Linked DNA regions of Arabidopsis thaliana. The protein of the gene in region 2 purifies or fractionates together with the protein of the main gene of each other region. This does not show direct contact. Each region holds a gene or a part of one and is shown on either strand. Other genes may lie near its edges.

Evidence for each region.
Region 1: the proteins of AT1G10690 (region 2) and CYCD5;1 purify together in Arabidopsis thaliana (affinity purification with mass spectrometry, with the first as the bait; one large-scale study listed by BioGRID). This does not show direct contact.

Annotation. Positions count from the first base shown.
Region 1 is NC_003075.7:17,676,139-17,683,339, reverse strand, and holds CYCD5;1 (cyclin d5;1), read right to left. Parts: upstream 4,173-7,201; 5' UTR 3,844-4,172; coding exon 3,601-3,843; intron 3,521-3,600; coding exon 3,434-3,520; intron 3,350-3,433; coding exon 3,040-3,349; intron 2,965-3,039; coding exon 2,816-2,964; coding exon of another isoform or gene 2,810-2,815; exon of another isoform or gene 2,735-2,809; coding exon 2,552-2,734; 3' UTR 2,076-2,551; downstream 1-2,075. Other genes in the region: ACA2 (calcium ATPase 2), read left to right, coding at 1-115.
Region 2 is NC_003070.9:3,548,060-3,554,032, forward strand, and holds AT1G10690 (cyclin-dependent kinase inhibitor), read right to left. Parts: upstream 2,790-5,973; 5' UTR 2,510-2,789; coding exon 2,177-2,509; 3' UTR 1,861-2,176; downstream 1-1,860. UniProt on the Arabidopsis thaliana protein: Probable cyclin-dependent protein kinase (CDK) inhibitor that functions as a repressor of mitosis in the endoreduplication cell cycle.

The DNA.
Region 1 (7,201 bases), on a different chromosome or scaffold from region 2:
CTTGGGCACATTTGCAAGCACAACACCACTCACAATAACACAATGGATCTTCAGTATCTTCATAGGTTTCTTGGGTATGCCAATCGCCGCTGGACTGAAGACGATTCCCGTTTGATCGTTCCATCAAAATTGGCTCGAAACCACTCTTTAAAGATCTCTATATTAGACCAGTTACTTCAAAGTTTAGAACGGACAAGTCTTCTAACAAAGTTTTTGCATTATGCAATGACTCTGTTTTTTATTCTTGACTTTTATTTTTCAGTTTGATTAGTGCTATTAAGGACAAATATCTGATTTCCTCCATTTTTGTAAAACTCTCTGTATCTTTGAAATGACACTTCTCTTTTCTTTCTTTTTCTCATTTTTGGAATCTAAATTTGGTCTCTATTGAATGACAAATGCAAAAATACAGAAAAAGGACATTGAAAAAACAGAGGAAGCAAAAGGTTAAAATAAGAAAAATGATTATTTGGGTACAAAATTGTTATCTAGCCAGACTGTAATTTGATATACTTAGAAAATCTCTCAATGAAGTCATGGCTTTTAGTGGGAGCCTCTTCTCCTGACATCATATCTCATCAGTCAAAACTGATTCCATATAACAATTCCAAAGCCTGTCAATCTCAAAACTGTAATAAATAAGAAAGACTCTTCTTTAAGAAAAGAAAAAAACATTTTTAAATGTTATCAATTTAGGATCTCTATGAAGTAAAACCATTTTTTAGATTGAAAAAATGAGTATACTATAGTCATTTGTCCCTTGTAGGCGTATAGGTAAATTATAATTTCTATGTGAACATTAGACCGGTAAAATATTCTATAACTAATTGTTTAAGTTTGTGATCGTGTGAATAAATGTTCATAAATAAAGGACTAATTAATATCTAGAATGAAAATAGAATTTACATAAAGATTAGTTATTTTTGTGATATTTCAATCTCACTAGTCATTAGTTTATCCATCTCCTAACCAAAGTGAGAGTTGTAACTAAATTGTGTTACCCGTGAATCTCACATATGTCTACACAAAACCCAACAGAAACAAAATGGTTTAACTCAATGATAATAAGCAAAAAAAAAAAATAACAATTGGGACATACTAATATTCATTGAAAGATAGGCAACAGAAAATTCAGAAGCATTAACTAGTTCTTGGTGAAGTAAAGCTTGACCCTTTATGCTTCTTGATTTGTTGAATAATCTCTTAGAGCAACAAAACATTGGCCTTAAACCACACACACATTATCTTTAATTATATTCTGTCAGTACTTTATGCTTCTTAATTTGTAAGAATGCATTTTGTTTGTAATAAGTCTTTTAATTCGTTGCTAATCATTTTGGAATTAAAGCTTTAATTAATGGAACCAAAACTTTGGATCCCAAGTTGTATTGTATGAGACAGTTGTTTCTCACTTAAACAAGTCGTTGGGTTGTTGTTTCTTCAGTCTATTACACATATGTTTTTTTTTTTTTTTCTCAACTGCATTTCATTGAAAATATTAACAATAATCCTATAAACACACACAAAAAAAACAATCTACCTCTATATGTACGAGTACGATGCACTTTTGACTTGCGCGTAGAATAGTACGTTAACTTAAAAACATCACATGCAAATTTCTGTATAAATTGGGGTTTCATCTTTAGATCCAATCATTGATCCAAAGTACTTCCACAGTTCCACTACAAGTTGTTGGTTTCTATAATGCTAAAGAAAACTTATTGGAGCAAAATATATATCCGTTTTAGTTTATCGTGATCGACTGATTGTCAATTCGTAAAAGTAGTTATCTATCAAAGATAAGTAACGATGATTTTTCCTAAACAAGAAAATTTTCTTTTTATTTGATTAATTTTTTTCCAAGATATTATATATTGAGATTTGAGAACATGAAAAGATCACGAAGGACTTTGTGGAATGGACATAACATGTTGAGTAGCATACAGATGGATTCACTTTGGAGATGACCAAAAGTGTCAATAAAGATAAGAAAATAAATATATTTATCAAATATAAAATAATTTTACCTTACCTTAAAAAGAGTTTTTTCATTTATTATTTGCTATGAATGAGCCCTTTTGAAAGTTAAAGAGGTTAAAAAAATGGACTTTGATGCCAAAAAAAAAAAAAAATCTATGACAAAATTTTGTAATATCAAATGAAAAAGAAATTGCAACATAACAAATAAAAAAATAAGACAATAAAAAAATAAAAGAGGATGTGAAACCAAATCACTGGCACTGCAACTATTGGCCTAAAACTATTCACCCTTTCTGTTTTTCTTATTTATTTACATTCACTCCTCATATTTCCTAGATTCTCTCAGAGAAGCCCCTAATGTTTTAATAGTCACATTTCATCCCCAAGAAATCCAAAGACCTTCATACGAAGAACCTATATGAGTTACTTCATAAAAATTGAAATAACCGATGTATTCAGACCATTTTTTCTCTATAATCAAATGATTGAATATAAAACCAAATCAATATGTTGCCAAAAAAGAAACCAAATCAATATAAGCCAAAACTTGAAGAAGAAAGAAACTCTCTCTTCATAGCCTACGCATTCTCTTGGCTGGTGGAGAACTTTGATCAGAATCATCAAAAGACAATCGGCGTTTAGCGCCACTTCCTGAAGCCGGCGGTTCGCGAGAAACCGCTATTTCCGGTGGAGGTGTCATATGTTTCCTCTCCTCAATCTCTAGCGTTCTCTGATAACACAAATATACATTTTCCTACAAAACCCAACACTCCTAAGATTATGATCATCAACATCAAACAATCAAAATCGAATAAAAAGACACCAAGATTTATACATTCTCATTAGAAGTCCACCAAGAGATCGAACCAAACTTGTTAGCTATCTCTTCTCTAGTCAATCTAATATCCGATGAGGTAGAAGAAGAAGCTAGCAATGTAGTAACAGCAGCAACAACAAACTGTCGATACTCCGTAAAACTTATCTCTACATGGAAACAAAAATGTGATATCAATAAATGCTTTGATCTTGAGAAAAAAATGTGTTTCTTAATAGAGTTACCTTTAGTTAAAGCAAGAAGAGAATCAGAGGATCTTAACAACACCAAGTCTTTAGAAACAGAATGGTTGTCCTGAGAGATTTTAGCAAGGAAGTAGTTGAAGTAATGAAAAGGAGTGATCAAGTTCATCTTCCAGTCCAATGTGGATAGAATCAACAGTTCAGTTTTACGAATGACATCGGGTTTGAAAACGAAGTCATGATCTTGAGGGTATTGTGATAAACCAGGAACAATACGTTCCTCCATTTTAGCAGCTAATGATAAACAAGCTACTGATAACAATCGCATCGCCCATGTTTCATCTTTCTGCAACTACAAAGAAACCATCTTTAAGCTTTAATCTGAAGATAAAGGTGAGATTTTTATAGATAAATGAAACTGGAGATTGAAACTTACACCGATGAATCTTTTGTGGAGAAACAGATCGAAGTATGAGATTGCAATGTAAGCTGTTTGATGTTGGAACCCAAATCTTGTTCTTGTCTGAGATTAAGACAAAGAACCAATCAATCAGAGATTAAGACAAAGATCAAAAAAGGGAAAATCTTTTTGAGATTACGGACAGTGAGAATCCAATCGATGGCAATCAATCTATCGGAAGACGACGTCGTTTTAGAGGGTAGGGTTTCGAATCGGAGATTCTCTTTAAGAACAAGGTCTGCCACATAATCTTCATCATCGATCGTAGTAGTAAAGTGAGGTTCTTGCTTATCAGATCTCTCAATCGTCTCGTCGTCGTCTTCGTTTAGAGAAGACTCCGATTCGTGGCAGAGGAAGAGAGCGAGACTGTCTTTAGGCTCACCCATTTAACGGCGGCGATGATGATGAAGACGACGGCGGCGGCGGAGATAGAAGTGTTCTTCTTCTTCTGCTTCTGCTTCGGTGGTGTGTCCGTACACATCAAAAGGGGAATTATAAAGAATTTGTGAGAAGAGTGTTTTTTTTTTAATTTATGAGATGAGAGGCAAAGTTATCGCAGTGAATATAGGGGAAGAATAAGAAGGGAAGCTAAATCATCGTATTTGATTTTTCTTCCATTACTCGATTTGGGATTTTAGGAGCAAGTGACGAAAAAACAAAGAAAAAAGAGAGAGAGAGTGGAGAGAGAGAGAGAGTCTCCCGCGTCTGGTGCCGCCAAAAATAAGTGGGGGAGAGAGAGGGGGCGTTATTTAGCGGTTACATTTAAATTAAAAATCTTTATTATTTGATTAATTTTAGGTTTTATTTGTTCACTAATATTTGAGTATATGTATAATATCATCACTCTTTTTTTTTGGGTCGACAAATAATCACATTTTTTAAAGGAATGATTACTCTTTTATTTTTTTAATATCCAGCAGGATTACTTGTGTTTGAAGACTTTTTGATGCTAGTCAATTATGGGTTTTTTTTAATTTAACAAAATTGTTTTTATCTAATAGTATTGTATTTTCTTGAAAAAGATTTCTGCTATTTCCATTAAACTGTTTTGTATTTTGTTGATTATTTAAGTTTAAGCAAATTTATTTTAAAAAAACTTTTTTAATTTCGGAGTTGTCTATGATAATGTGAACTTTATTGATAAATTAAATGTTATTAATAGAAATAAATACTTAATGCAGGAATGGAGAGCGTTTAGAACTATTGTGGCTGTCTTAAATATATGAGATTTACACGTTTTAAGAACGTCCATATATAAATGTCATTGTTTTTACCTGTTGAACTTCCTTGATTACACTCTAGATTTCTTACATGAACAAAGTTCACGGATTCTGTTAAGAATGTTATCATCAAACTTTTTCTTCTATTTATTTGTTGTTTTGTACAAATGGAATTTTCTTTCGGTCTCTGAGATAAGATTTATAGGATCCTTTGAATTTGTATCAATCATTTAGTTAGGAAAGAATAATGATCCCATTGAAATTTATGTGCAGAAAGTTAAATCCCATTCCAAATACAACGTTCTTATTAACATTTCTCATTAGTGTATTCCACGTACCACCCCCTTTGTTGCTTTTGTAGTAACTTCTATTTTAAGAGGTTTGAATTAAAATGTACTTTATTCAAAATAGAATTGTGAACAGAAAACAGAGGAATAGCTAGTTTAGTTATTTCCCACTTATTGACTTCAATTAAATTCAGACCTAGAAATTCATTTTCAATGGAAGAAAATAAAGATCAAAAGAGCAATTTTGCAATAAGTTTTTTTTAGGAATTGGTGGGGGAAACACCATACCATTCCCACTAAAAAAAATCCTCTCAACTTTTTAATTTAGTTCCATATCATTATTTTTGCTAAGTCATATACAAATTTTCCTATAGTTCTATTGCAATTATTATTCAATTTTTCTTCTCCGTAAATCTTTTTGTTTCCTCACTTTTTATAGTTATATTCACGGTAACGAGTAATTAGGCCTACGAGTAATGACTTCCATGTTAGGTGAGAAAGTTGTATATGACTCATGTAGTAGATGTTACGAGACACGAAGATTGTGTATGAAAATTTATACAGTACGTAGATAAGAAGAGTAGATATACGTAAGCAAATTCACATAGATTGTAGGTAGAAATATAGACAAATACTGAATGAGTATATTTATTGTAAAAATAGGTAGGTCTCGTTAGCGGGTTCCAAAACCTTATCATGTGTTAAATTTTGATGTATACAAGAAAAATTGAAAGCAGAATCCGATGTATCGTAAACCATCCGAATTATAACTGATTATCCAATTGGATGAAAGTGGAATTATACTATACAATATGTAATATGTTAAGAAAAAAAAAGAACAACAATTTACTAATTTGTACTATAATTAGTCTTGAACAAACTTAAAATCAAATAAATATTTATTTATCCATCAGCAAATGAGGCTCCCATCTTTATATGTTTCTGGTCCCTTTTTTGACAAATTTTTTAAAAAATAAAAAGACTTGTATATATAGGCGCATGGCTTTGGAGCCGAGTCATTCAATATATAGGATAATTAATTTTTCTATTATAGTATTAATATTTATAAGACTAGATGTAAGAAAAGGGTATAAAACCAAGAAGACGCAAGATCCAAAATCTGCAACTTTTATGTGTATGTTAGTGAAGTATCAGCAGCATTTGTTCGATCTCCCCCCTAGATACAAGTAATATTCTCACATTACGTATTTTACAGATTATTTTTGTATTTCCTTTTTTTAACTTCTGACTTGTATTATTGTGCATTTCTATGTATATATATACAATGATTACATTATGTTACAAATTTTTTTCTGAGATGTTTGTATGTAGTCAAGATGAGGGACCAATTTCACAATAACTTGAAAAATGCATTTCATCATTTTAGAATTTAGATGATGTGATCTGCAATTGCCAAGATTGACCGAAATTAGTAACGATGATGATGAATTTGCAGGATATTTTTTTATCACTTCAAAACAAGTTTTGGGTCGTTAGGCTAACTCGCTTGGTGAATATCTATGTCTAATTTGTTTTTTTTGGTGAAACAAAATTATTTTTGTTTTCTCGTGCTTTTCTTTCTATGATTGTCTTCCCTTGTTGATAAGGAATCAAAGTCTTTTGTGGTCTATTTCACGCATTTAATAAAATTACTATTATGTGGAAAATAAAATGTAATATTGGTAACTAAATATGACATTACATATAGCAAATGAGACGAAAATAAATGCTCCTATTTGAACATAGTGAACTCTTAAGAGTTAAGAAGGGTTAACAGTCAGACATATAAAAAAAAAAAAGAGTTAGTAACCAAATATAATTTGATCACATTTTTAATGAACTAACAAATCTAGGATACCTAACACACGTTACACACAATATTTTCCAATCTACTTATGATTCCTTTCGAGGTGTGTATTAGTCTATTCATCCTCTAGCAAAAACAAAGAAACTCGGTCCCTCTGTTTCCACAAGAAGGTCTCTATGGACAAAAAAGACATAACACTATCAAATATCAATTGTGTATGATGTTGAATAATACATGAAAGAAATATGATATAATATATAAAAAAAAATTGATGGTGGAATGATGGCGCACGTGACAATAACTACAGTGGAGGAGCGTCGGTCACGTGCGAAAGGCTGGATTGCCTCAGAAACGAAGAAGAAGAAGACGCTCCACCTCTGCCTAACTAGTAACAATCCAAAAAACTATATGATATAAATATAAATTATGA
Region 2 (5,973 bases):
AGTGTCAATGCATTTCAATATCTTCACTTCACCCATTAATATACTGATCAATTTATTTCCAGGATCCAACGACATTATTCATTTTAATTTCTTTCTTGCTTTCTATATAAATCTCGCAATTAACTAACTTAATACATTCAAAATTTGAAGGATAAGACTAAATTAAGGATTATCGGCCCTCCCAAGTACAACGCACCGGGATCACCAAATTATGGGATCTCTAACCATGTGGAGTCCAATAATTAGCAGCTTTTCAATGTGATTTTTCAAATATTCTTTTCTTATAAAATGTAAAACAAAGGTTAGACAAATGAAGGAGACGCAACCTTCAACCAATTGATGGTAGTGAGGATATATAGTATTTGTTCAGTCAACAAGGTAATATACAAAAGTTGATGTATTCTTTCTTTGACGTCGTTTTGGTGAGACTTCTTCTTCTTTTGACGTCGTTTTAATAAGAGTCTTATTCCAATCATATTTAATGAGTTTGATGAGATTATTAAATAATTTGCAACCTATAATTAAAAATTAAAAAAAAAAAACTTTTTTCAATCAGCTTTACGTATACGAGTGATCTTCAAAACATCTGAGTTTCTTCAACTAAAGCCTCACATATATAGGCTATAGCATTTGCTTTCTGTTATCCACTCGCGAGAGAAGCCTTTTTCTTTTAACAAGAATAGTTTACTACTTATAATTTTCTTAATCTTTGTAAGCATATACTCGCCATAATAAGATTCCGCAAATAGGATATTTTGATCCCTGTTAAAGTATGACAAAAAAAATGATTATAATGTGGTAGAAGTGTATAACCCGATAAATGGGTATAGTTATTGGTTACATTCAAACTAAAGCTATGTACAATCACGTTACTAACTAAGGAGAAACAAAAATAATATAATTATAAGACACAAGAGAAATTAATTAAAACCCCACAAGAAATTGATAAATTTTAAAAACTAAAAAAAATATTATAAAAGTATTGTACAATAAATCTTTGACGAAAAAGAATATCAGTATAAACTCGAAAACTTCCAAAATCTTGGAAATTTTGATGCAATGAGGACTAAAACTTTTTGGCGTATTCTTTTCTCGGATTCCACTTGCGTCGGTGGCTGTCACTGATCTTCGAATGATGTTTGATGTATATTAAAATCCTTTACCGAAAAAAAAACTACCGACGTAGTTGCATATATTTTTGTGCACACAGTTAAATAATAAAATATTTCGTAGACAAACGTCATGACTATGTAACATATCAATCAGACAATCAATTTAAATTATTTCATTTAACTATTGTGAAGTAGGATAGTAATATATTTGAATGAAAAACCAAAAAAAATTTGGGGTAAAAACAAATTAGATGCCACCAGGTTGAATTTTTAATGTATAACAAAAGAAAAATTCTTTGGTATGTCAGATATAACATGACATTTCATTGCATGCTATAAGTGAAGAAATTCACCAACTATGTCCAATTATGAGAATGATCTAAACAATAAATGATGAAGAAATGTTGCGATAAAAGGAAGAGATTGTTGAGACTAATAACGAGAAAGAAGACACTATTGTTCTTGTGATATAATTATAAAGGGGGAGAGATTTCTGCATTCATTCAATTTTTCAACCATTTAGAAAAGAACAAAAAAGATTCTTTTAGTTTTTAGGCAAAGAAGAAAGATTCCTTTTCTTTTGTATAGTTAAAAAAAATATAGATGGAGATAAAAGTAAACCAAAAAGGTAGATAAAGTGTAAGACTTTTGATCTGTGAACCACATTTGTTAGGGTTGTTAATTTCATTTCAAACTTCCAAGGAAAAAAAAACTATTTTGAGGATAAATGATTTTTATGATCAACCAAATTCACTGAGTATGAATGCAAAAGACAGAAAATTTGTAAATGAATAAAGCTAAGAAATCATATACATCAATTATACTCAAAACAGGGGGAAATAGAAATATACATAAACATGAAACAAACACTTCATATTCACTAACCTTGATTAGTGTCCTAACGTTAATACAACTGAGAAACAAATAGAGTAAATTTAGTTAAGTTCAGAATCTAAGACTGAAGAGTACTAAACCAGATTCGAGGATTACGACTAGATGAAGAAAACTAACCCTAAAAGAAGGTTATAAAGAGAGAGAGAGGGATCAGAGTCGTGAAAACAGAGTTAATAACTAGCTCTTTGAATGAAAACGGTTTCTAGGTCCGGCGGAGAGAAGTAATCTCTAGTGACGGTGACGTAACTGCACTTCAACGACGGTTTACGCTTCTTTGGCGCCGCTGGACACGGCGGGACCCTTGGAATTCTGACGGAAACCGCCGTAGGGGTCGTAGGACACTGATCTTGCTCCTCTGTTTCGGTAACTGTGACGCCGGGAGATAGGTTAATCTGCTTGAGAGGGGAACGTGAGGGAATTCCGGCGATGACCCATTTTTTACCGTCGGTGGATTCTCGTATCTCGCCGTCGAGTTGGTGGTGAGGTTTGCCGGAATATCCCATGACTTCTCTCGAATGTGAATGAAGAGGAAACAGAGAAAGTGAAAAAAAAACAGAGGAGTTTTGTTGTTATGGTTGATGATGAAGATGAAAGAATCAAAGGTTTGCTTTAGGTTTTTGGGATTGATGTGTGGGGAACGAATGAGACGTTTTGTTCTCTCTCTCTTGGATACTTTTTTTTTGTGGTTAACTTTGGTGGCGAGCGAATGTGAAGTGAAGGGGACATTTTTTCTTAGAGGACGGTTTTATAGTCAACAGAGTATTAATTACGTTAGATCGGTGTCGATTCAGTTCGGTAATTTCTACTGATTTTGCTGAATAAAATTATTGTAAGTTTTCTTTTTATAAAAAAAAAAATCAAATTTAATTATAGAAAGACAGTGAGATAGAGTTGTACGTTTTTTTTAAATATTCATATTTATTCGTTACTGATGCCTGAGGCTGAGGGCAGAGTGGAGGGAATAAAGGAGCATGAGAGAAGTAGCAACAATTCCTACATTTCAAAATTTAAATTTCTAGGTCATTTTTATTTTATTTTAGATCATGCAGCCTGCAGGTAAATTTAATCGCATTTGAGATTTTTATCTTATAGTGAAACCAAATCTTTTGAATCTTTTTAACAAAAAAAAAAAGAAAAAAAAAATCTTTGAATATTATAAACTATGAAAATGATATCAAAGTCATGAATAGTTTATGGATGCATGTCTTCGAAACAAAATTACAAAATACATGAAGTCGATTCTTATAGGATTAATGTTGATTTGTTTGACCCGTTGATATTCATTAGAAATTTAACGATTTTATTCTAATTAATATTATATATATGACATATTAAGAGGTATAGCACATATGTATATTTTTATATAAAAAAAAGTAATTTTGTTTTTAAGATGATATATAGACATATGTTATTTTTTTAACGTATAATACACCTTGGTACAATTTTAGAACTAAAAAATTTAAAATTTTAAGTTATATATATATATATATTGTTACTTTGGTTTTGTTTTCAAAATTGTATAATTATATTTCGATTGTTAATTATATGATTTCATCCGTAGTATATATAATTCCATATTAATATCAACTCAAACGCGTCCTACCGTATAACCCCGTCATGTGAAATTAAACATCATTTTGTTATTTTTCTAAAATTTAAATATTTATGGTATTGAAATTAAAATATATATATATATATATATATATTGATCCAAACTTTATAATTGTATTTTAATTGTTATATATAGGATTTCACCCGTAATATATATTGTCTCATATTAATATATATATATATATTTTAATAAAGTATAACTTTTTAAAAGTTTTAAATTTTTTGATATTTAACTTTTAAGAAACTTTAAATATTTATAATATTTTGAAATTTTTAAAGATTCAGTTCTTTAAAATAGAGATTCAGAGTAAACCGGATAACATTTTTATTTTTGGATGCCTGATAAATCAAACTTCCAGTTCATTGTTATTCAAAATTATTTTGGTTCTTTTTATAATAAGACTCTAAAGCATTGCCCAATTTCTTAAGTAATGTGGGATCTTTCACACTTACTTTTTTCTTTATACATAGAGTAATATATGTCTGTTTACAAAAATTTGAATTACATCATATGCAGAAAAAATCTAATATTTTATAAACTATATATATTTTATATAAAATCAAATAAATTAGATATAAGAACAACAAAAAGTGAAAGAAAAAGCATATATTTATATTTAATGTAGATAGAGAAATTTTAGAAAATTCGTAATTAATTGATTGTAGTTCAATAATGATAAGATTTAATTAAGGATTTAGACACATATTTGTTTTAGATAGATTTTGTAGAGGCTAAATATGTAATATAGAAAAGAGTTAATTTAAGTATTTAATGCAAACTAACAAATTATAAATTTTTAGTAATAGAATATTTGGTTGAAATATAACTGGTAAGGACCTAAATGTTATTAGTAAATAGTTAAGGGATTTTTGACCAAAAAGTCTATCAAAAATGTATATGTAGATATAAAAATCATAGAAAACTCTTTAATGTATAATAACACTATGACAATGCCGCCCATTAACAAACTCACGGAAAAAAAAAAAACTACTTTTCTCTATTTTCTCTCAGTATTGCTTGCTTCAAGCATATTTGTACTTAGTGTAAATACACGCCCATTAACAAACGTGAACCATAATCTTATCCGGTGAAATACATACGCCACCAAATATAATAATATATCATGTGGTCAAATCCTGCAAAAAAACTCATCAAAGATATTTTGTGTATTGTAAAATGATTCTATAGTAGTACTAATTAATAGGTAATATATACTGTTAACTAATGTGGACAATTGTAAAACGACGACATAGTCATTGAAAACGAAATGGAGTATATCTAATCTGGCTGAGAGAAGAGTTGATATGAAAAGAGAGAGCCCGTGAACGGATATACAAAATGAGTTTTAAATGAGAATAGGGAACCCGAGGAAACGCGTGACCTAAGCTACGTAAATTATAAAAATAACTTATTTTTATATTCATAGGGTGTGTTTTTATTTACACAAATATATATAGTATTTGTATCAACTTCTATGTATTAAATATAAAGAGATAAAAATACCCTTTAGATGCAAGTAATAAATGGAGTAACGAGATGGAAAGAGTCGTTGAGATTCACACTTCAGTTGGCGGTCCTATTTTTGACTTTCTAATTATCACCGGTCAACATATTTTGTAGAGATTCCATCGCCGATGCTCAAGTTTTTTGCACCCTGTGAAAACATATATAGAGGTTTTTGGTCGGTGTTTGCCGGCAACGACAAATATGTGATTTCTTAGTTTCTTCAACAATAAACTCGTGTTTGCCTCTTATCTAGCTAGAATGACCTTTGTTTAGTAGTTTTCTGAATTGCAGTTTCCCTAAACCATTATCTTAGTGCACATACATAAATTATGGTGCAATATCATTTTGGTAACGTTACTATTTGTTAGATATTTATTTAACAGAAAATGTCATAATCCTTAAACACAAATTCTTATTTAAATATGTAAACGTTTTCTAAAACTTATGGCTTCTTCTGATTTATTGGATCTAATATATTGGAGCAGCCTTTTGTTTACCATTGGAATACTCAAGCTAAGAATAATATTGTTAGCTTGAAATTTTCTACATTCTAATGTATTCTAGTTTCAACTTTCAACTAACACATCATCTTTCCACATAGTAGGCGCGTATACCTTCCCAATTTTGTCCCTTTAAACCGGAAACTAACCGAATTTCCCTATCCACATTCTAACTAAACCGAGACAAACCGTTTCATTTCGAGCAAGTCTTGAACAAATTAGTTTCAGAGTGCTGCTATTCGTTTTTGGTATTCGGACAAATTAAACTTGAACCGATGGTTAGCTACTTAGCCAATTAAACCGAAACTATCCAACATCTTCATAACGTGTCTCATTTGACAGATAGGGG